2 linked regions of the Elephas maximus indicus genome follow. The protein of the gene in region 1 purifies or fractionates together with the protein of each later gene. This does not show direct contact. Links are inferred from orthologs where the notes say so. Each region holds a gene or a part of one and is shown on either strand. Other genes may lie near its edges. The genes, in order: EYA4 and DCTPP1.

The links.
Region 2: the proteins of EYA4 (region 1) and DCTPP1 purify together in Homo sapiens (affinity purification with mass spectrometry; 3 studies listed by BioGRID and IntAct, with this or other methods). This does not show direct contact. The link is inferred for Elephas maximus indicus from reciprocal best matches to the Homo sapiens genes EYA4 and DCTPP1.

The regions. Positions count from the first base shown.
Region 1 is NC_064819.1:202,610,336-202,622,136, forward strand, and holds the start of EYA4 (eyes absent homolog 4), read left to right. Parts: upstream 1-5,875; 5' UTR 5,876-5,916; intron 5,917-6,404; exon of another isoform or gene 6,405-6,757; intron 6,758-11,801. UniProt on the Homo sapiens protein: Tyrosine phosphatase that specifically dephosphorylates 'Tyr-142' of histone H2AX (H2AXY142ph). 'Tyr-142' phosphorylation of histone H2AX plays a central role in DNA repair and acts as a mark that distinguishes between apoptotic and repair responses to genotoxic stress.
Region 2 is NC_064830.1:89,690,792-89,702,592, forward strand, and holds DCTPP1 (dCTP pyrophosphatase 1), read right to left. Parts: upstream 6,278-11,801; 5' UTR 6,273-6,277; coding exon 6,172-6,272; intron 5,505-6,171; coding exon 5,394-5,504; intron 3,699-5,393; coding exon 3,398-3,698; 3' UTR 3,216-3,397; downstream 1-3,215. Other genes in the region: ZNF771 (zinc finger protein 771), read left to right, coding at 1-456. UniProt on the Homo sapiens protein: Hydrolyzes deoxynucleoside triphosphates (dNTPs) to the corresponding nucleoside monophosphates. Has a strong preference for dCTP and its analogs including 5-iodo-dCTP and 5-methyl-dCTP for which it may even have a higher efficiency.

The sequences.
Region 1 (11,801 bases):
AACGACTTCCTCATCGCAAATACCTTTTTTCACCAACATAAACGGCAACTGTGCACATGATGCCAGATGGAGCACACAGGAATCAAATCGACTATGTCTATGGAAAGAGACAATGGAAAAGCTCAGTAACATCAGTCAGAACAAGGCCAGGGGCCGACTGTGGAACAGACCATCAATTGCTCATATGCAAGTTCAAGCCGAAACTGAAGAAAATCAGATCAAGTCCACCAGAGCCAAAACACAACCTTGAGTATATCCCACCTGAATTTAGAGACCATTTCAAGAAGAGATTTGACGTGTTGAACATTAATGACTGAAGACCAGAGGAGTTGTGGAATGACATCATACATGAATAAAGCAAGAGGTCATTGAAAAGACAGGAAAGAAAGAAAAGACCAAGATGGTATCACAGGATACGCTGAAACTTGTTCTCAAAAGTTGAACTGCTAAAGCAAAAGGAAGAAATGATGAAGTAGAAGAACTGAAGATTTCAAAGGGCAGCACAAGAAAACGAAGTATTACAAAGACATGTGCAAAGACCTGGAGATGGAAAACCGAAAGGGAAAAACACATTCAGCGTTTCTAAAGCTGAAAGAACTGAGGAAAAAATTCAAGCCTCGAGTTGCAATTCTGAAGGATTCTATGGGGAAAATATTAAGTGATGCAGGAAGCATCAAAAGAAGATGGAAGGAATACAGAGTCACTCTACCAAAAAGAATTGGTCCACATTTAACCATTTCAGGAGGTAGCATATAATTAGGAACCGATGGTACCGAAGGAAGATGTCCAAGCCGCTCTGAAGGCATCGGCGAAAAACAAGGCTCCAGGAATTGATGGAATACCAACTGAGATGTTTCAACAAACAGATGCAGTGCTGGAGGTGCTCACTCATCTATGCCAAGAAATATGGAAGACAGCTTCCTGGCCAACTGACTGGAAGAGATCCATATTTATACCTATTCCCAAGAAAGGTGATTCAACCGAATGTGGAAATTATGGAACAATATTGTTAATATCACAGGCATGCAAAATTTTGCTGAAGATCATTCAAAAGTGGCTGCAGTAGTATATCAACAGGGAGCTTCCGGAAATTCAGGTTGATTTCAGATGAGAATGTGCAACCAAGGATATCATTGCTGATGTCAGATGGATCCTGGCTGAAAGCAGAGAATACCAGAAGGATGTTTACTGGTGTTTTACTGACTATGCAAAGGCATTCGACTGTATGCATCATAACAAATTATGGTTAATGTTGGGAAGAATGGGAATCCCAGAACACTTAATTGTGCCCACAAGGAACCTGTACATAGATCAAGAGGCAGTTGTTGAGACAGAACAAGGGGATACTGATTGATTTAAAGTCAGGAAAGGTGTGCGGCAGGGTTGTATCCTTTCACCATACCTATTCAATCTGTATGGTGAGGAAATAATCCGAGAAGCTGGACTATATGAAGAAGAACGGGGCATCAGGATTGGAGGAAGACTCATTAACAAACTGCGTTATGCAGATGACACAACCTTGCTTGCTGAAAGTGAAGAGGACTTGAAGCACTTACTAATGAAGATCAAAGACCACAGCCTTCAGTATGGATTGCACCTAAACATGAAGAAAAATCCTCACAACTGGACCAATGAACAACATCACGATAAATGGAGAAAAAATTGAAGTTGTCAAGGATTTTATTTTCCTTGGATCCACAATCAACAAACCATGGAAGCAGCAGTCATGAAATCAAAAGATGCATTGCACTGGACAAATCTGCTGCAAAAGACCTCTTTAAAGTGTTGAAGTGCAAAGATGTCACCTTGAAGACTAAGGTGCGCCTGACCCAAGCCGTGGTCTTTTCAATCGCATCATATGCCTGTGAAAGCTGGACCATGAATAAGGAAGACAGAAGAAGAATTGACCCCTTTGAATTGTGGTGCTGGTGAAGATACCACAGACTGTCAAAAGAACAGACAAATCTGTCTTGGAAGAAGTACAACCAGAATGCTCCTTAGAAGCAAAGATTGTGAGACTGTGTCTTAACATACATTGGGCATGTTGTCAGGAGGGATCAGTCCCTGGAGAAGGCCATCATGCTTGGCAGAGTACAGGGTCAGCAGAAAAGAGGAAGACCCTCAACGAGGTGGATTGACACAGTGGCTACAACAATGGGTTCAAGCATAACAACTATTGTAAGAATGGTGCAGGACCAGGCAGTGTTTTGTTCTATTGTGCATAGGGTCACTATGAGTCAGAACCCACTCGACGGCACCTATCAACAACAGCAACTACATTTTAGGATTATTTTTACTATCATCCAGTGTTCTGTTTTCTTTTTTGGTGAATGTAGTGTCTTATTCCTTTTTTTTTTTTTTTAAAGCCTAAAGTCTGTTCCTACTAAAATGATGGCATAGTTTTTCCCCTCAGGCTGTTTTTAAATGAAATTAAAATAAAAGTTATGTTTTGGATTATAAGATCCTCGAGGGCTTTGTTTGTTTAATTTGATTTACACAGAACTCAATGCCAAAGCAGTGCCATGCACATTTGAAAAATAAACAAATAGTAGATGATAACGGCAGCACCATCTCGATCCAGAGGGCTTGGTTAAGGGAATTGCTAATAAGTGAGTCTTGTATTTCCACTGATTTTCACTTTAAAGTCAAAGATTTTTTTTCTCCCCTCCAAAAAATGTCCTTTCTCAGATTGGGTGGAACATTTATGGCTATTCTCATGGCCTGATTCATGTTATGCAAGACCTGCTGGTGTTTTTGAATCGCTTCTAGAATTTGGCAGCAGATTTCTAACGACAGAATTTCCCCACAAGTCCTTTCTTTCAGCCTCTTTGAGTTTCTCCCATTGTTCTTTTTCCTTTCTTATCTTTTTGCCTTTTGTTTGTTTCTTCAGGGTCTTGTAGAACTTTGTTGCAGTACCACACTTGGCCAGTAGATGCTGCCACTTCATGAGGTGTTACAGTCGAATAGCTTCTTGTTCAGTGGTTAACTCAGAACCCAGTGCCGTGGAGTCGATTCCGACTCAGAGCAAAAGTGTGTGTGTGTGGGAGGGGTGAGGTGGGGAAGACGAGAGAAGGGAGAGGGAGGATAATGCTAATTGGTACCATCTTTAGAAGTGTAATTTGTTTTTTTAATCATGTGCTTATGAATTATTTGAATCTTACCAGAAGTGTTTGCTTTGATAGTATGAAAAACAGTAAAAAAAAAAAAAAAAAAGAAAAGAAAACCAGTTTTAAAAAAAGACACCTGAGCTTCTGATACTTCAAGTAAATTTTAGGCAAGGAGATCAATAATTCAATACACACAGAATTTAAAAACTAATACCTAAAACTATCTTGAACCAACATTTTTCTCCAATAATGGGAAAGAAAGGCTGAAAATACATTTGAAGAGTCTAAGGGATATATGGAAACCCTGGTGGCATACTACAGCTGCTAACTAAAGGGTTGGCGGTTCAAATCTGCCAGGCGCTCTTTGGAAACTCTAGGAGGCAGTTCTACTCTGTCCTATAGGGTCGCTATAAGTCGGAATTGACTTGATGGCACTGGTTGGTTGGTTTTGATCAGAAGGTAGTAATAAGAAAAGGAATAACTGATATTGTCATACAATTGAGGGTTTGTGGATAACTTCTGCAAATGTATTCTTATGCAGATGTATAAAAAACTGTGGTGCAAAGTAACTTGGAAAGCAAGATCAATGTTGCTGGAAATCTAATAGTTTTAGAAGGGAATAAAGAGACATAGTAAAAAAAACCTATATTTGTGTTAATAGTATGATGTAGTGAATTATAGATTTTTATTTTATCCAAATTATGCATCTCCCCACCTTTATTTATCAGTAAAACTAACACATAATGTTTTGTAGCAGAATGAAATTAAAAAAAATATATGGTCTTATGAGGAGAGTATTAAGTTCAGCATTGTATTTAATTCTTAGGTGATATTTGCTATAGTAACCCCTGGTGGAGAAGCGGTTAAAGGGATCAGCTGGTAACCAAAAGGTTGGCAGTTCAAAACCACCAGCCACTCTGTGGGAGAAAGATGTGGCAGTCTGCCTTCACAGAGATTTACAGCCTCTGAAACCCTATGAGATCCCCATGAGATCACTAGGAGTCAGAATCAACTCAATGTCAGTAGGTTTATTTGCTATACCCACAGACCATTCTTAGGCACTGAATGATTCATAATACATTTAGGTAGCATATTTTGCCCATAATATGTTCCAAAACTAAACCCACTGCCATCAAGTCGATTCCAACTCCCAGTAATGCTATAGAACAGCGTTGAACTGCCCCATATGGTTTCCAAGGAGTGCCTGGTGGATTTGAACTGCCAACCTTTTGATTAGTAGCCGTAGCTCTTAACCACTATGCCACCAGGGTTTCCCTATAATATGTACACAGTAATAAAAAGAATGATCATTCTTCTGACTACTGCCACTAATAATAACACAATGGCTAAGAGTGGACTTTGGGGTTCCACAGAGGCTGGTTTGAATCTTAGTTCTGCTATTTATTAGCAAGTTGCCCCAAATTCTGAGCCCTCAGTTTTCTTGCCTATAAAATGTAGAGAATAAGATCTGTAAAATTAATTAAATCTGCTCATTGGTATTTTTCTCTTAAGTGTGTATTAACTGGCATTCCTCTTCAGTCCAGAATATGCTCTAGGCCATGCTCCGATTCCCCTTTGGGCCAAACCAATGCCAGACCCCTTCCTACCTTGAGAACCAGAAAAGGAAACGCTATGATTGGCAGTGCCCATGTCCTCTGAAATAAATATTCAGGAAAGAAGACACAGTGAGCGATGAGGGCCTCAAGAACACCCCTATCATTTTAAATTTATGACCCCACCTTTTCTGTTGCTCTTAATAATTGCAGAGTGATGCCCCACTAATTAAAAAATAAATTATAGCTGCACATATTCAATATTGGTTTTTGCTTTTGACCTTGACAGTCCTCATTCATGGTAGTTGCTAGCTGAAGTAGAAGATGATACCTTTTTTTGAACTTTTTTCACAATATAATTTAGTTGATAATATATTAAAATTACATTTTCTTTGAATGGCAGTAACTTCTACTGGTTAACTTGTGATCTCTTAGGCCACATCTAAAGCACTGTGGGTATTGTTTGTTGAATCATAGGCTTTGTGGTTAGAAATCTTGGGTTTGCCCTTGGGAAAGTTAGGTTTCTTTGGGCCTCGAATTCCTTATCTGTTATATGGACTTGAAAATAATAATCACGCAGAGTTGTGAAAATTAAACAAACTCACCTGTACCATAAGTGATCAGTACAATGACAACACTCAGCGAATTCTCAATAAGTTAAAACATTTTATTATTATGACAATCGAAGAAGAGGCTTCTAAAATTGACAGTGGGTTTTAGAAAAAGGGGATTAAATGGATGTGAAGTTTATGAATGGTTCTACTTTGCTGTGGTCACTGGTGTGATACACACACATGTGCATATAGAATATTAAATCCTGGATACATACATAATATATGCGCAGAAGGCTGAGGCATGAAATGTCATCTCAGCAATGTGCCTGGGGAAGCTCTGACGCTGCCTTGGAAGTCAGTCGTCACTGCCTGACCTTTGGCGTTTGGGAGGGATGCCTATACCTGCGCCCAGCACTGGAAGGGGCCCATGCCCTTCCCAGCACAGCCTGTCCTCAAACTGCTTACTCTTTTATAGCATGCATCTCCACGGAAAAGGCCTTTTCCTCGCGTCAGAGTGAGGTCTCCAGTCTGACGTGGGTTGGCTTTTATTTTACGTTGTTGCAAGTAGGCGAAGTTCCTTCTGTCTTCTCCCTCGGAGTAAGTGGAAAAGAGTCCGACAGGGGGCCCGCAGTGGCCCTCCAGCCAGGGACGTGGGTAGCGGGAGAGTTAGAGCAAATTCCGGGGACTGTCCCGGAGAAGCAGGTGGGGAAAGCGGCGGTTCCCTGGTCCCGGGAAGGGAGCGCGGCCGTGGGTCCCTCCCCTCAGCCATCAAGCTGCCGCGGCCGGCGCCAGGCGGGTGGGGGTAGGGTGGGGTGGGGGTGGCGCGGAGAGCGTGGAGATTACGGCGGCGCCACCGGGGACGCCCGGGGCCCCGAGGCCCCGAGGCCCCGAGGCCCCGGGTGGTCATCATTCGAGACCACGAACGGTGACAACAGGCAGTCACCCGAGGTCAAATAAAAAGGAGTGAGTCCCCCGTGCGTCGCCGCCGCCCGCGCCCCGGCTGACTGTCCCGGGGCCCCCGGTGGCCTCCTGTGCCCGCGGGCGCCGGCGGCGGCCCTTCGGTCCCCGCCCCGCGCGCAAGTGCGAGGCTGCCCGCGGCGCGGCGCACGCTCGGCCGCCACGGTTTCCGAGCACAGCTTCGTTGCGAGTCCACGTGAAGTTGTCGCTCGCATTCGAAGGGGAAGGGTGCTGTGGTCAAAGCTGGGGTGTGACGACTGCGGCGGCTGGGGCGCGCGCTCTTTTCCTTTTCTTCTACTTTTTTTTTTTTTTTTTTCCTGTCGTCAGTCAAGAGTTTTGGCTCCTCTCCTTCCCTCCACCCCCTCGGAGCCGGCTTCTACCCCCGCCCCGTTGCTCCCCGACTTGTGAACGCAGTTTGTTGGGGGGTGGCCGAAGGGGATGTCCTGTTTTCATCAGAGGCACAGCGCGAAGGGAAAACTCGGACATAGGAAGGAACAAGAATAAGTACCTAAATAGAGACTCGCGGATCTGCAGCTGGGACAGACACTTGAACTTCAGTATCCCGAGGCGGTCCGGGAGGCGGGAGGTGAGTGCGCCTTTCTTCTGACACCCTGCCGGGAGCTACAGGGAGGGGGGAGGACGGCCAGGTGCGGTAACCCCTAACTCTGCCGGAGAAAGTGCGCACGGCTCTGCCCGGGCGCCGAGCGCCGGGGTCGGAGGACACACTGCAGGACGATGTGCAGGCGCCAGAGTCCCCCCGGGCGGTCGCAGGCGGAGTACCCCACGCTCTAGGCCCTGCCAACTGAGACTGCACCGCGCGCTACGTCTTGGCGAACCCCGCACCCAAAGAGGGCTCTCTCCGAGCTGCGTGTCCAGCGCCGGGCCACAGCTAAGCCGGCGCGGAACCGGGTCGGCGGCCCCTCACCGTCCAGCGCTCCGCTCCTACCTGCGCCCCGAACCCGCCTCGCAGAGGATCGCGTACTAGGGTCTCCCCTGCATCCTTCTTGTGACAATATGTTGTGATGACCCCCTAGATTATCAGGCGTAAGGATGCGGACCCAGGGCCCGGTGGAGGGAACCAGGCGCCTGGGTTTTCCGATGCTTGATGGATTTGTACGTTCAGTGCTTGGGCTTGAAACTCCAGACACTTACAGGCTTTTAAACTGCAGTAATCCCACTTTAATTGTTTTCTGTGTGGCGTGGACCGACTGTCTCCTGGAGTTTGCCAGGGTCCTTGAAATTAGAGGCGCCTTTTTTTGTCAGAGGAGTAGCGTTCATTGGCTCGGGGTACGGATGCCATGGAGGGATTATACCTTCTCCAAACGAAGGGACCTGGCTGGAGAGAGTGGATTTTCTCTCGTTTCGCCTGCTGGGTGTAGGGTGGTTGTGGGACTCGCTTTTTAGCGTTGCTAAGCCTGGTTGGAAAGTAGACGGTGTGTATGCTTGTTTTATTCTGCGCCACCCAGGAACCAGAATTTTCGTTTAATAGCACTTAAAGGATTTCCGTTTCTTTGCATACGATATTCGGAACAACTCGTAGCTTTTGGAAAATTTGTGGAGGGAGTCCCTTGGCAGAGCAGTGGCGAAACCGGAGACCGCAGTTTAATTTTTGTCATCGCTTCCCTAGATGGAGTGGCATGTCTCCCCTCGCCACAACCACCCTGTCCAATTTCTTGACCCGCGAAGGCTAATTGGGCTTGTGCTTTGTGTGCGTGTGCGTGTGTGTGTGTGTGTGTGTGTGTGTGTGGTAGGGGCTGGAGGGGAGTTGTTTGGAGACGTCTTCGTTCCCCTTGCCCCAGGCGCCGCTTCTCTCGACTCCGGGAGCAAACAAGAGCGAGTCATTCATGAATCTTCACCTGAGGGCAGTCCAAGAAGGTGCAGGTCCTTCTGCCTGTTCTGGCAAGGTGCAAAATAGCGCCTGGGCGTGTGTTTTGGTTTCAGAACCATTCCACGTGGAGCACCTCCGTGTGCGTGCGTGTTGTGTACTTGATCTGCGAGGAGGTAACAGGAGTCTCGTGTTCAAACCCAGTGGGCCATTGGCCATTAATTTGCTTTCCTGGCTGTCATTACAGACGCTTCCAAAATCTGATACTTAAGAGAACCAACAGGTTAGGTTTCACATTAAGAGCTCATACCTAACAGTTTTCTTTCTCCCTTACCCCTTTTGGCTTGGCAGCCTGAGATCAACGTAATTGATGGAGCGAAATATATCTTCTCGAATATGCCATTTCGTTCCTTTCCTCACCAGCGGCCACTTTCTGGACTCTTGAAACGTTTGTCAGTTTCAGTGAGGGCTCCTACGGGGCTTAGGTGGGAGTCTTAGGAGAGTTTAACAACCGGGGACTGGGCATCGACAGCTTCTGAAGTTTCATTTACATCTACGCGACTGACAGTATTAAAAGTTGGCGACAGGTTTCTAATTGTTGAGTTGTTTTTGTTTTTAAAACTTCAAGACAAGGATTGTACTTGATAACCTTCCCCAAGTAGAACTACTCAGTGTTTCTGAGCAGAAACACTGCCTTTTTTTTTTTTTTAATAAGTATTTTTGGCAAGCTTATACCTGGAGAATCAACTGGGAAGGGGGGTGGAGTGAGAATTCTAAAACAAAATATTTGATAAATAGAATTTTAGAAGACTGCATTCAAACACATTTGTGTATTTTTACAAATAAAATTATAGCAAGAAATAAAAAGCGGTGGTAACAAGAGACAAACTGTTTTGTGTAGGGCTAGATTGCCAGAATCCGATTTTTATGGCAAAAATACCAAATGCAGATAAAACTGCACACACTTTTACTGTTGATTGTAAACCATAAAGAATAGTTTGTTCCACCTGATTAAAAGTTGTGAGTTATTCAAAGTTAAAACCTTGGACAGTTGTGGCTTTGAAAGTTTTAGTTAGGTGAAAACTGTTCTTTTTTCCCTGATTATTAGGGAGATGCCATTTTCTTTCATGGTGAAGTTTTAAAATCAGTGTGTTTTTCAAAAGCCTGTTTTCTTTTGTAAATTACCTCAAAATAATATGCTTCAACCTTTAAAAAAAATTTTAAAGGGCATTATAATTAGAAGTTGTTTCACAATTATAACTGGAATAAAAACATTTATTCAACTTTCTCTTTTTTAAATTAGTATTTATTTTATTGAATATTAGAAGCTTAATTTCTCCTTCCCAAAATGAAAATTTTCATATAGGTATAGATTCATAGCTAATATTTATTTTAAGTAATGTGTTCACATTTAAAAATTAAAAAAAAATTGCAGATTCGTATGAAAAGAGTTTGGTTCGAGAATGATCATTTTTATTAAGAAATACAGATGCCGAATTCTAAAGGATTTCTAGAAGCTGTTTGGAAAAAAATTATCTTTGCATAAAAATTTCTGTTTGGGAAACTGGCAGATGAGTGATTTGTCAGTTTGCTGTAATTTATTTTTTTCTATAAGTTTTTTTAAAACTTATTTAAAACACTTATTTTGGTTGCAAAAAAGAAATATAACTTCTCCATTTCTAAGAGTTTCCTTTTTGTTTATGTTGTGATTTGGGGTGTAAATAAATTTTACATAGCCACGGGAAATACAGTGTCCAGTTTCATGTTTTGAATCTCTGTTGCAAGCTCCAAATAACTGATGCCGTATCTAAAAATATATTTATGTGACTTGGTTTTTAATTTTTAAAAAAATTTTGTGCCCTGGAATTAAATTATCCAGTTTTTAGAAAATTAGAATGGATAGAAAAACCATAACCATTGTTATAAAAAGTTAGGTTATTGGCGATTCTACATTTTAACTTTCAAACAATGAAATTAAACTTTTTTCACCCAGTGGAAGCTCACACTTTTTTATGTAGAATTTGAGAAGAGGGGAGATAATCTTTTTCAAGACTTAGAGAAGTGTTAAGTAATTTAAGAATGCAAGTATTTTTTATGTTTTTTCATTATCTCTTTTTTTCTTTCTATTAGGTAGATGCAGGAACACTGAACATTCAGTAAAAACAGGCCCCCTTTCTAAGGAGTTTATTCACCATAGTTCTGCATTGCAGCTGCTGATCATATTTCATGGAGCTGTTAAAGCACTTAAGACCTAAAATTAGGTACTGTCTGGTTGTAAATATTTCAGATCACTCATTTAAGAAATAAATAGAAAAGCATGCTATCAAAAGTAGGGGATGTTTTGAATCCTCTCATTGAAGAGCTGAACAAACCTCTATCAAACACCTTTTTTCTGTCTCAGTGAGAATATAATCACCACAGTTTCTTTTTCAAATGGATATTATTCTTATATATTCTAAACTCTTATAATATGTCTCCCTGTAAAGTCTCATAAACTAATTGTATTCAGAAATACGGTGGGGGGGGATTTTATTACAATGGTTACTAGGTGAATGAAATCAACACCAGGAGGAATGGAATGGCATTGCAGTGTACCTGCCTCTCATGAATTTTTCCCGGTGAGCTAAGAAACAACATTCCCTTTTAGGCATTCGCCCTAGAGATGGGTCAGAGGCAACGGTGCATTTAATTGAAGTCTGTAATACTGGATTTTGCAGTTTGATGTATTTTAATGTAGGGACACTGCATATTCATTAAATGGAACCCCGAGCCAAATTTGGCGTCATTTAGCTTGAACTTGAGTGGAAGAAAATAAACAAGAATAACACATTCAAAAGCAGTGCAAGCAACTTGGATTGCTTTTAAGAGGATTGGAGACTTTGTAAACATTACTGTCACTTTATAGTGCTTATGGCACTGCACATTCATATATGCCTTGATGATACACCATTTTAGTCTTGAAGTTTGCTATTTTTGCCATATTCCCAGCCATGTTTTTACTAGTATGTAGAGAGGTTCTGAAAATGAGTACCCCTATTCTTATTCCCCTAACACCTTCCCTTCTTCCAGAAAAAGAGATGAAACTGATTAATTTAAAAATAGAAACCATTTTGAGTTATCAAAACCACATTTATGTGGTGGTTTAAAACAGTCTCAGAGTGTACACCTCTGTCTCACTGTAACCTTTTCTGTCATTGAAAGGTGCTAATTGATCTTAGTATAGTTTGATATTTGAAACCTTTCAGTGCTGGTCTGGCCCTTTTCTCACCCTGAGATTTCAGTGCACAGCTCTGATGAAGAAAGACAGCATATTAAAATGTCAGGACTTCTCATTTTCTTCCGATATGAAATATTTTAATACGACATATCCGTAATTTAAAAACTTTTATTTGCACACAGTAAGTAGATTTGTCTTAATGTACTTTTGGCCTCTGTGGGGGAAAAGCCCAGTATTATCATGTTAGGATGTTTTTAATATTATTTTTTAAAGAGGGAAGTTCTTCTAGGTTGAAAATTTAAGGAAAGTCTGATTGCCGTTATTACATCTGAGTACTTCCAAAATTAAATTGCACTACATCAAAGATAGAATGGCCATCTAGAAATTTCATATCTAAGCACGTGGCTACTTAAAGTATATTTTAAAACAAAAATTATCAGTTTATTCTTTAGGTAGTTGCAGTTTTGTTGTCTGCGTATGTTGTCTTCATTGTCATCAACACCATTGTCACCGTTAAAACATCGTAGGTAACATTTACTGAGGATTTACCTTACGCAAAATATTGTTCTGTCTATATGGATTAGCTAA
Region 2 (11,801 bases), on another chromosome or scaffold:
CGCGTGCACACGGGCGAGAAGCCGTACGCGTGCCCGGACTGCGGGCGCGCTTTCGGCGGCAGCTCGTGCCTGGCGCGCCACCGACGCACGCACACGGGCGAGCGGCCGTACGAATGCGCCGACTGTGGCACGCGCTTTGCGCAAAGCTCGGCGCTGGCCAAGCACAAGCGGGTGCACACGGGCGAGAAGCCGCACCGCTGCGCTGTGTGCGGCCGCGGCTTCGGCCACCGTTCCAACCTGGCGGAGCATGCGCGCACGCACACTGGCGAGCGGCCCTACCCGTGCTCAGAGTGCGGCCGCCGCTTCCGCCTCAGCTCGCACTTCATCCGGCACCGGCGCGCGCACATGCGGCGTCGCCTGTTTATCTGCGCCGGATGCGGCCGGGACTTCAAGCTACCCGCTGGCGCCACGGCTGCGACTGCCACAGAGCGCTGTCCCGAGTGCGAGGGCAGCTGAGCCGCCTTCCTGTTGCCGCAGGGCTGTGGGCGTTTGGCTCGGAAGGGGCATGATGGAGCCCCGACTTGGAGGCAGCAGTAACGTGGACACTCCTAGGGAGGGGCCTGGGGAAGTGGGAAGGCCTGGCTGCCCTGGAACTGAGAGAAACCCTGACGGGCCCCTGGGAACTGCCCATCTCCCCCTCACCGTATTTCTTTGGCCGTGTTAGTGAATAAAGTATTATATCTTCACCCCACCCGTGCCTGTGAATGAGGTGGGTGGGGGGAAAAGGAGGAAGGCTGGCATTTTCCCAAGGCTTAGGTGACTTGAGTAGTTAGGGAGCTAGGAGGGGGATTAAGCCCCAAAGGGTTCCTGGGGCAGGGTGTGCGCGTGCACGTGTGTGTGTGTGTGTGTGTGTGTGTGGGGCCGGGTCATCCAACACTTGGCTCTTGGTTACAAACGGCTCTGTGTTCTGCAAAGCTTGAACCTTATGGAGCTGTCTACGGATGGTGACACAGTAGTAGAAACTTTATAGCACTATGTTAAACGCTGTGCTTCATTTAAATATATTTGCTCATCTTCACCCTCAAAACATCCTAAGGTATGTCTTTTATCTCCATATTGACAAACGTGAATGGCAGAGCAGGGACAGCGGGCAACGGTAGTCTAGTGCATTGGAGCTCTGATGGGGGAAGTAATTGGATAGGAGGATCTCCAATGCAGTTTTGGAGTCTAGGGAGGCTTTTAGAGAAAATGATGTTTAAGCTGGGTCTTGAAGGTCCAGAGTATTAGGGTTGGGGGAGTATGGAGGCAGCCCCCAAACTGAACTTGCAGCCATCCCCTGGGGTGGGATGTGGGGACCTAAAGCAGGGAGTTTGGCAGGAGATAAACCACTGGGGGCCTTGGAAGCCAAGTTTAAAGGATCCACGGCAGCAAAGAAGCCTTGAGGGATTAGGAAGGGATGGATTTGTCCAATTAAAGAGCTGGCATCTGTAGCAGCCTACAGTGTATCTGGGGATGAGGGAAAGGAGATGGGGCTGACTTCATTGCCTAGCTTGGGTAATTGCAGGACAGTATCACTAAGACAGGGACACAGAAGGAGGGGCAGGACTGGAACAGAAGTGGGGTCAGTTGTTAGACCCCCATCTGAACATGTTGAGTGTAAGATGAATGGACCATAACAGCTTGGATGTATCAGGCCTGCAGTGCATGACGTTAGATCCTGAAGAGCACCCAAAAAGAGTCTGTAAAGAACAGCCAGAGGTAGGAAATGTGGAGTGGAAAGTGTCTAATGAGTGGTCAGCTCAGTCCAATGCTGCTCTGGTGTCACTGCGTTTGTCATGTGTACAGGAAAGCAATGGCAGTAGTTTCAATAGAGGAGTGGGGGTGAAAGCCAGCCAGGAGTAGGTTAGGGCATAAATGGATATGAGCAAGCAGTTAGGAGCGTAGACAAGCCTTTCGTGAGGTAGGGCTGGGAAAAGTATGGAGAGAATTTGTTGGGTTTGTTTTGCCAGTAGGGAACAGACTTGAACGTGCTGGTAGGAAGGGCTAGTGAAAAGGGAGAGAAGCTGATTAAGGGAGAGGGGATGAAATCAGAGATCAGCAAGAACAGGATTCTGTTATCACAAGAGGAAGAAAAAAGGTAGGTTTGGGGCCCAAAGCTGAAACAGTTCCCATCTGATGGATTCTTCTGTACCTGGGAAGTACAAATAGAGATCATTGGTTAAGAGAGGTAAGAGGAGTGAGGCCAGTAAAGGGGAACGTCTCATTTTACTAATGGGGAAACAGACGGGCAGCAAGTCAGTGACCGTGAGTCCTGTAAGTGTTTCAGAGGTCTTTCCCCCTGTATCACCCCACCCTGTGGAGGCAGGCTACAGAAGTCTCAGAAAAGGATGTGCCTAAGGTCACACTAGGTAAACTACGCACACCCAATGCTATCTTTAGGCCAAGAAGGGGAACAAGAAATTGGCTTTGGCAGGGGTCTCTGCTTTTTCAAATGGGCCCAAGCCCAAGGGAAGAGATCTGGCCCCAGTTGGTGCTGGGAATCAAGGGAGAAGGGTAGAGGGATCATACAGGACTGGGATCCCAATGGACAAGGCTGCGGTCTGGGGGGCAAGGCCTGCCTTAACCCACCTGCCTTAGCTGTGGGCATTTTCTGCTCTGGGCCCCTGAAAGTTGAGTTGAAAAGGCAAACAGATGATAACAATAACAGCAAACTCACAAAGTACTTACTATATGCCAAGTGTGTCCTGTACACTCTGCGTGTAGTAACACAGCTATCAGGTAGGTACTGTTACTTTCATTTTACAGATGAGAAAACCAAGGCACAGAAAGATGAGTGTCAAAGATGGCATTTGAACCCAAACTGCCTGGCTCCAGAATCTGGGCTCTTAACCAATACTATATAGCCAAAAAGAAGAACCAAACCCATTGCTACTGAGTTGATTCCAACTCAATGACCCTAGAAGACAGAGTAGAACTGCTCCAAAGGATCTCCAAGGAGCACCTGGTGGATTCGAACTGCTGACCTTTTGGTTAGCAGCCAAACTCTTAACCACTATGCTACCAGGGTTTCCAGTACTACCTACAGCCTCCTTTATAAGCCCATAACTGAGAAGGCACTAGAATTTGCTAGAAATTAGGTTTTTCTGCCCTGCAGGTAGGAGGGACAATGGAGAAACATGGGGATTAAGGGGCTGACACATCCCTGGTGCCCCTCTCCAGCACCTGCTGAAAATAGAGCCTCCCCAGTGACCCCAGGAAGAAACCAGAGGTTGCTGCTGAAAACTTTTATTGGGAGAGAAGACAGGAGGCTGTTTTCCAGAGGTCCCTGGGCCTCAGACCTCAGGAAGTGGGGCCTCCAGGCGCATGATCTGTTAAGAAAGGACCAGAAAGTTCTGTAACCAGGCTACCTTCTGCTTCTCAGATTCTGTGCTGAGTTGCACGTCCTGTGCCCACGTGTCTAGGTGGAGGCCTGGCCCGTGGACTCACAGGTGAGGTCTGTAGGCCCTACCACCTGGTCTTCGGAGACAGACCCATGGGGCAAGTCCGTATATTTGCAGGCAGAGCCACGGGACAGATGGACTGGGTAACGTCGCCGGTTTGTGTCCATCTTGGAGAGCACTGCTTGGGGCAGATCCACTCGACAGCGGGCTGCCAATGCCACCAGATAGATGAGGACATCGCTAAGCTCCTCCTGAAGGGCTGCCCGCTCCCTGGTAGGCCAGGTTTGGGGTCCAAGCTCCTCATCCGGCTTCCACTGACTGGGGAGAAGAACACACAGACAGACATACAAAGATGCTAGCTAAGACAATGGGCTCCTTGTCTCTCAGAAGTACCTCAGTCCTTGCAGGGATAAACACAGTCACAGTCACACAGACACACACACACACACACACCACCCGCCCCCCCCCCCCCCAAGAAGTTCCTCCAAGGCAATCCAACACATCTGGGCCAAGTGAGGGTGAGGAAGAGACCTCAACAGATGATCCACCCAGACCTCTGTGTCCCCTACCTGAGCCAAGAAGCAGAAAGGAGAACATTTCACTTGTTCAGACACAGCTTTGAGACCCAATTCCACTTCTTTCCAGCCCTACCACTGTTAGAGTGACCAAACCTCAGGTCTGGACTACCGCAGAACTCATCTCCCTACTTCTACTCTTGCACTGTGCCATCTTTTAAAAGCACAAATTACATTTTATCCCTCTCCTGCTAAACCTCTACAGTGCTTAGAGTAAAATCCACCCCTAACCATGTCCCCTAGGCCCTGCCTGCCTGACTCCCTGACTCTTCAAATGTCATTGACCCCCACCCCCCGCTCTCCCTCCTCACCTAAAGCCACTCTTTTCTGTCTCACAAACATGCCATGCTGTCACAGGGCCTTTGCACTTACTGCTCCTTCTACTTTGAATGCCCCACCCCCCATCCTTTTCCATGGCGGACTCTTTCCTGTTGTTCAGATCTCACCTCAGATGTCACCTCCTCAGAAAAGCCTTCTTCCTCCCAGTTACCTTCTCTCATTGCCTTTTATGTTCCTCACAGCATTTGTTACAATTCCAGATCTTTTTAAATTAGTTGAATTATTGTCAGTCTCCTCCCATGAAAACGTCAGTTGCGTGAAGGTAGGAACTGTGCCTGTCTTATTCGAGACCCCCTTGAGGCTAGATGACCTAGCGCACAGGTGATGCTCATACATCTGTAATGAATGAATGGCTTGCCCTCTGTTTCCACACACTTATACCTGTGCCCTCATTTTTCCAGCCCCAGTAACTGCCCTGGTCCAGGCCTCACCATTTCTTGCTTGGTCTATACCATCCTCCTTACTGGTCTCCCAGACCCCCTTCTCTTTGTGATCCAGTCTGCACTGCAGCACAGTGGTCTTTCTACAACCCACATTAGGTCAGGTCCCCTGCCCAACCTCTATCACTTACCAGTCCAATCCTATCTTTCCGGGTTCCTCTCCCACCCCTCTTCTCCACAGCTCTATCACTCACTCGATAGATAACTGAGTGCTTTAATTGTATGCCAGACACTTGAGACACACCACAGAACAAAACATACAAACCTCTGCTCTTCTTTACACTAAAGTTGTATCAGATTCTCCCTTTCCAGCCTCATTAACTGTGCAAAAGTACTTCTCCCTCTCTAGAATGCCACAGGCAGGTCTTCTAGAGGATACCACCTTCCTTTCTTCCTTCCCAGAGGCAAGAAGTAAAGTTGTTGCCACCCCCTCTTCTCAAACCTGGATCAGCCTTGCTGTTTTCATACTTTTCTGTCCCAGGAGACTGGACGCCCCTAGAGGGCAGGGACTGAATGAGTCATCTCTGTATCCCTAGTACCACGCACACAGCCTGAGATTGTGGAGGAGAAACTGAACCCATGACTGTTTGATAATCAAATAAATGCTCCCCCCCCCCCCCCCCGCATAACCTCTTCCGGGAAGCGTTCCATTTACTTACAAGAGCTCTGCCAGCTCCCCTACTTCCCCCACCAAGGCCAGGAGGAGGTTCCGAGGCTGGTGGAACTGGTCCCAGTCTCGTTCAGCAGCGAACTCAGCATGGAGGCGGCGGCTGGAATAGGACAAAGGGGTGGAAGCCCAGGGTCCCAGGGAGGAGAAACAGAGCCAAGGCAGTAATGGGGACGTGGGCATCAGCGAATTCTGCAACTAATTCCCTGGATGGACTTGGGCAAGTGATTTCTTCTCTGTGAGACTTGGTTTCTTCATCTATAAAATGGTGCGTCCCTAAACTCTAGCCAAACTTCACCCTCTTCCCCAATATTCCACCTCCTGCTGCAGCTTCTGTAATCTTCTCCACCTGGAACGTGGTTCTAAATTCTACTTATCTTGCAGAGCGCAGCACCAGGGCCGCTTCCCCTAAGAAGCCTTTTCTTGATTTTCTCCAGCAAGAAAGAGTATCTCCTACTTCTCAGCATTTCATTTGCCCCTGTCCTACCCCCTACTCTCGGTGGGCACAGGCAGTGTCCGACTCCGGTATCTCCCCAGGGCTGGGCATAAGGATGATCCTAGTATTACTCACGGAGCGTCACCCAATTTCCCCTGCCTCAGGTGTGCACTGCTGCGCCCATTTTGCAAATGAGGTCAGAAGGCTCGCCCGAGGTCAACCAGCAGCCGCTAGCGCCGCTGCTGGCCTTCTTTCCGACCACGTGGAGGGACCCTCCCCCATTAGGAGGGAGAAAGCTGCTCTCCCTAGCCTGGGATGGGCAACAACTGCTTACATGTCCTCGAGCGTGGGTTCCGAACTGAAGCTGAACGGGCCGGCACAGACACCACCCTCCCCTCCCTTTCCCCCATGCGTGTCCCCACCGACACCAGACATGCCGCCCACCCCGCCGCAGCTCCTAAAAGTACCGTAGAACCATGCACCAAGGGCCCAGCCCAAAGAGCCCCTGACCAATCACGGGCGTTCCCGATTGCTTCATGGGGCGGAGCCCGAGGAAAGACCAATGACTTATGTAGCTTTTGCTACAGCCCGCCCCCTTACCCGGGCTGGACCAATCTGAGGGAGTTTCTAGAGATGGCTTGTCAGCACCGCGCTCGAATCCTTCCCTGTTGGCCGGGCATCTTAAAGATACAGGTACAACGGGACGAGACAAAAGAGGAAAAAAAAAGGGGGAAGTGGGAGCGTAGGCGCATTACTACCCCTGTGAGCGCCAGATGGCGCCAAAGCAAAATAGGAGGGGGCATGTGTGGGGAACTCCAGAAAAGTAGGACTCAGAAATGAAGGGCTCCGTGGAGAATCCCAGAGATGGAGAGCTGCTAACCAAAGGTCAGCAGTTCGGATCCACAAGCCGCCGCTTAGAAACCCTTTGGGACAGTTCCACTCTGTCCTGTAGGGTCGCTATGAGTTGGAATCGACTTGACAGCAACCAGTTTTTTGGTTTCAGATCTCTCAGGGTTTACGGACACGGAGTACCCGCTCAAGACCTCCACCACACTATTTGGAAGAGATTGAGAGGAAAGAGCGGCTCAAGGTCAGACAGGACTAGGACCCAGGCCTTTAGTCCCACTTCGGTTCCCTACCCCAGCTGTTTCCTGTGTTTGGAAGGACTTAGCTCAGGTTACTGGCCTTAAGGGAAGAAATCAATCGGCCCTCCTCCCTGCCCTCAGTGTAGATGACAGGGCCCTGGAACACATGGCCTGCTGTGGTCCACCTATCCAGCCTCTTGAGTCACTGTTTGACCGCCCCCCACATATTACACACAGCAAGCAAAGCCTTCTTCTGGTTCTCTGAAGACCCCAAGCTCATTTACATTAGAGGATTTATGAGCTGACAAACTGTGGAATTGTTATTTCAAATCTAAGAACCGCTGAGTTATTGTTAATGGAAAGAGCAGAGATAAAACCCAAGAACAGGTTTAGTGGTGTAAATCATTACTTGTCTACTAAGGGCCACTATCTTGGCTCTCCAGGAGTTTAAAGAGGCCTGGAGTTTGGTGGAAGTGAAAGAATAAGAAAGTGAAGGAAATGGTGGAGAGTCCGATTTTAGAAATTAAGATCCCCAAGGTGTGGCAGTTCCACTTCTAGGTATATACCCGAGGGAAAATAACCCACTGCTGTTGAGTCAATTCCTATAGGACAGAGTAGAACTGCCCCATAGTATCCAAGCAGTGCCTGGTGAATTCAAACTGCCAACCTTTTGGTTAGCAGCCATAGCACTTAACCACTACACTACCAGGGTTTCCCCGAGGGAAAATAGTGCATATATATATATACAAGTATATGCATACAAGAAGTTTATTGCAGTCTCGTTTGTAATGGTGAAAAATTGAAATAAGCCAAATGGCCATCAACAGAACAATGAGTACATTGAGATAAATTCATACAGTTCCATTACATTGAATGCAAGCAACAGAAACAAGTTTGAACTGGTTTGAACAAGAAAGGGGAATTTATCATAAGGAACAAGAATGTCCTTTGGGATATAGTTCGGCCTCAGGAATAAACTGGAACTGGAGTAGCTGTTTTAAGCATTTTGCATATATTCTTATACAGTCCTCACAGAAACTGTGAGTTAGGTAATATTATCATTCCCATTTTATAGATAAGGAAGAGAGAAGTAAAGTAACTTATTCAAGATCAATATCTAGATCCTAAACTACTCCATGAAGCCATTCTTAAAGTAAACAACAGTTTAGCCCAATTAATACTTGCCTCAAGCATACCCCTTGCTGTCTGGATGATTCTGGCTCATAGTAACCCTAAAGGATAGAGTAGAATTGCTCCATAGGGTTTCCAAGGAGTGGCTGCGGGATTCGAACTGCTGAACTTTTTGTTCACCGGGGCTCCCAGTGGCACAGTGGTTAAGACCTCAGCTGCCAACCAAAAGGTTGGCAGTTCAAATCCACCAGCCGCTCCTGGAAGACCCTATGGGACAATTCTACTCTGTCATATCAGGTCACTATGAGTGGAATTGACTCAACGGCAATGGGTTTTGCCTCAAGCATGGCGCTCTTATAAAGAATATATGAGTGTAAACTGATAACAGTTAATCTAAAGCACAGATGAGAACTTCAAGGGGCAGAGAGCCTAAATTAATGGTGATGAAACAATCTGGATAGAGATGGAATGACGATACAATGTGAAGTACGTAACCAATGTTGTTGAACTGTTCACGTGGAAATTGTGAGTGGGTGTATGTTTGGTTGTGTATATTGCCACCAAAAATAAATAAGATATTAAACAAACAAAAATATCAATATCTAATAAGGTGGTAGAGCCAGGTTTCAAATCTAGGCAGTTTGACTTCAGAGTTTGTGTTATTAAGCATGCTTCAGTATATTGCCTCAGATAATGGTAAGTCGGAAACCCTGGTGGCGTAGTGGTTAAGTGCTACGACTGCTAACCAAAGGGTCGGCAGTTTGAATCTGCCAGGTGCTCCTTGAAAACTCTATGGGACAGTTCTACTCTGTCCTTTAGGGTCGCTGTGACTCGATGGCACTGGATTTGGTTTTGGTTTTTGGAATGATAAGTATATGAAGAAAATTTTAAATGTTATGGTATTTTAAACACTATGAAAAATGATTGGGGGCAACTTTAGATTTTTTTTTTTTTCTTTTTTAGATTACATGGTCCAGGGAAGATGTGATAGATACTGTTGGTTACCTACTTAACTGTCTTTCCCCCTTCTGCATTTTTACAGAACCATGATTTTGTTTTGGGGTCCACTCCTCCCCAATTCGTTCTACAAATCATTGTGGTCTCATTGCCTTGGCCATTGGTTTATGAGTGAGCATTGACCTAGTTCTTGACAATGACAAGTAAGAAGAAGTCTGTGGGGATTTCTGGTAAAGGTTCTTAATTCTTTAAAAAAAAAAAAAAAAAAGACACAGGATGTTTCTAACTTTAGATGTTGGTATGTGAGGATAGGAATGTGAGGAGAGCTAGCCATAGGCTGAGACTGGCAGATCAGCAAGGACCTGGATCCTTGATAACATTGCCAAGCCACTTCCTTTACAACTCCAGAAATGCCTGAACTAGGGGTTCTGGTTATTTAAGATAATGAATCTCTTAATAGGTGAAATCTACTTTTAGTTGGGTTTTCTGATACTTGCCTTTGAGAAAGTGACATTTAAGCTGAGCAAAAATCATGATGAATCAAGTTCTAGGTAGAGAAAGCAACCAATGGAAAGTCTTGGCATGTTCTAAAGTCAAAAAGAATTCCAGCGTGGGACGGGGAATAATGGTTGCATATGGCATTGGAGAAGTAAACTGAGGCCAGATCAAAAGGAGCCTTGTCAACCATGGATTTTAAGTTGGATTTTATTTGAAGTATTATGAAAATCTTCTGGAGAGTTTTAAGCAGGGGAGTGATATGATCATATTTTATATTTATGAGCTTTCTAGCTGCTGTGTTGAGAATGAATTAGAGGAGAGTAAGAGGAAGCAGAAAGACCAGTTAAGGAAGTTATTACAGTTGTCCATGCAAGAGATCATGGTAATGGAATACTACTCAGCCAGGAAGAGAAATGAAATCTTGATACATATTACAATGTGGATGGAGCTTGAAGGGTATTATGCTAGTGAAATAAGTTAATCATAAAAGACAAACATTGTATGACCTCACTTATATGAAAAGACAAGAACTGGCAAATGTATACAGACCAAAGTTTATTAGTGGTTCCCAGGGGTGGTAGGGAGGGGAAAGGGGGGTTATTGCTTATAGACTATTGAGTTTCAGTTTACAGTGATGGGAAAATCGAGTTAAGGGTAGGGTTGCACAGCCAATTAATGTAATTTCTGTCAATAAGTTATACATCTGTAAAAAGTTGAACTGGAAAAAGCTATGTGATAGATATATTTACAACAAAACAACATCATCAACAACAAAAGAATAGCTCCTAAGGCTGCTTATGTACAACCATGGGATTTGGTTTCTCAGTTTGGAGGTTTAGGGTTATGATTTCACGGGACATCCCAGTTAATTGGCCTAATAATGTGTTTAATGCTTCTGTTCTATCTCCTAGTTGCATAGTGCTTGGGGCTTTAAAAGCTTACAAGTGGCCACCAAAGGTACAACAATTGGTTTCTATTCACCTGGAGCAACAGGGGCAGAGGAAAGTCGGAAACAGGAGGAGAAAATGGGTGTGTGGCTAATTGCCTCCATGAACAATTGCCTCCTTTGCTATGCTGTTGTTAGGTGCCATCAAACTGGTTCTGACTGAAAGCAACCCTAACTACTGCAGAACGAAAAACTACCTGGTCCTGTGCCATCCCCACAATTGTAGCTAAGTTTAAGCCCATTGTTGCAGCCACTGTGTTAGTCCATCTTGTTGAGGATCTTCCTCTCTTTTGCTGACCCTCCACTCTACCAAGCAAGACGTCATTCTCCAGGGACTGGTCCCTCCTAATAACATGTCCAAACTGTGTGAGACAAGGTTTCGCCATCCTTGCTTCTAAGGAGCTCTCTGGCTATATTTCTTCTAAGACAGATTCGTTCTTTCTTCTGGAAGTCCATGATATAGTCAATATTCTTCATCAACACCTTTGGCCTTCCTTATTCATTGTCCAGCTTTGAGACGAGAAGAACTGGATGATGCCCAGCTACCATTTCTGAACATTTTGATCAAAGATTCTATAGAAGAATCCTGATTAAAAGGGGCCAAAGGGAGGAAAATGCAGAAAATAATTTCAAATTCTCATGGAATTCAGACTTCTTGGAGCAATGGAGACTGGATGAATCCCTGAAACTGTTGCCCTGAGATAATTTTTAAACCTTAAAGCAGAAATACTCCCCTGATGTCTTCTTAAAACCAAACAATAATAATAAAAAAAATAGTTTAGCTTAATTAGTAAAGAATGTCTGCCTTATCAATTGGTCGCAACCCACCTGGAGTAAAGGAGAATGAAGAACACCAAAGACACAAGGTAATTATGAGCCTAAGAGACAGAATGGGCCACATAAACCAGAGACTACATCAGCCTGAGATCAGAAGAACTAGATGGTGCCCAGCTACAACTGATGACTGCCCTGACAGGGAACATAACAGAGAACCCCTGAGGGAGCAGGAGATCAGTGGGATGCAGACCCCAAGTTCTCGTAAAAAGACTAGACTTAATGGTCTGACTGAGACTCGAATGTCCCCAGTGGTCACGGTCCCCAAACCTTCTGTTAGCCCAAGACAGGAACCATTCCCAAAGCCAACTCTTCAGACAGGGATTGGACTCGAAAAAGGGATAGTAAACGATACTGGTGAAGAATGAGCTGCTTGGATCAAGTAGACACATGAGACTATGTTGGCATCTCTTGTCTGGAGGGGAGATGAGAGGGCAGAGGGGGCAGAAGCTGGCTGAATGGACACAAAAAGGGGACAGCGAAGGGGAGTGTGCTGTCTCATTAGGGGGAGAG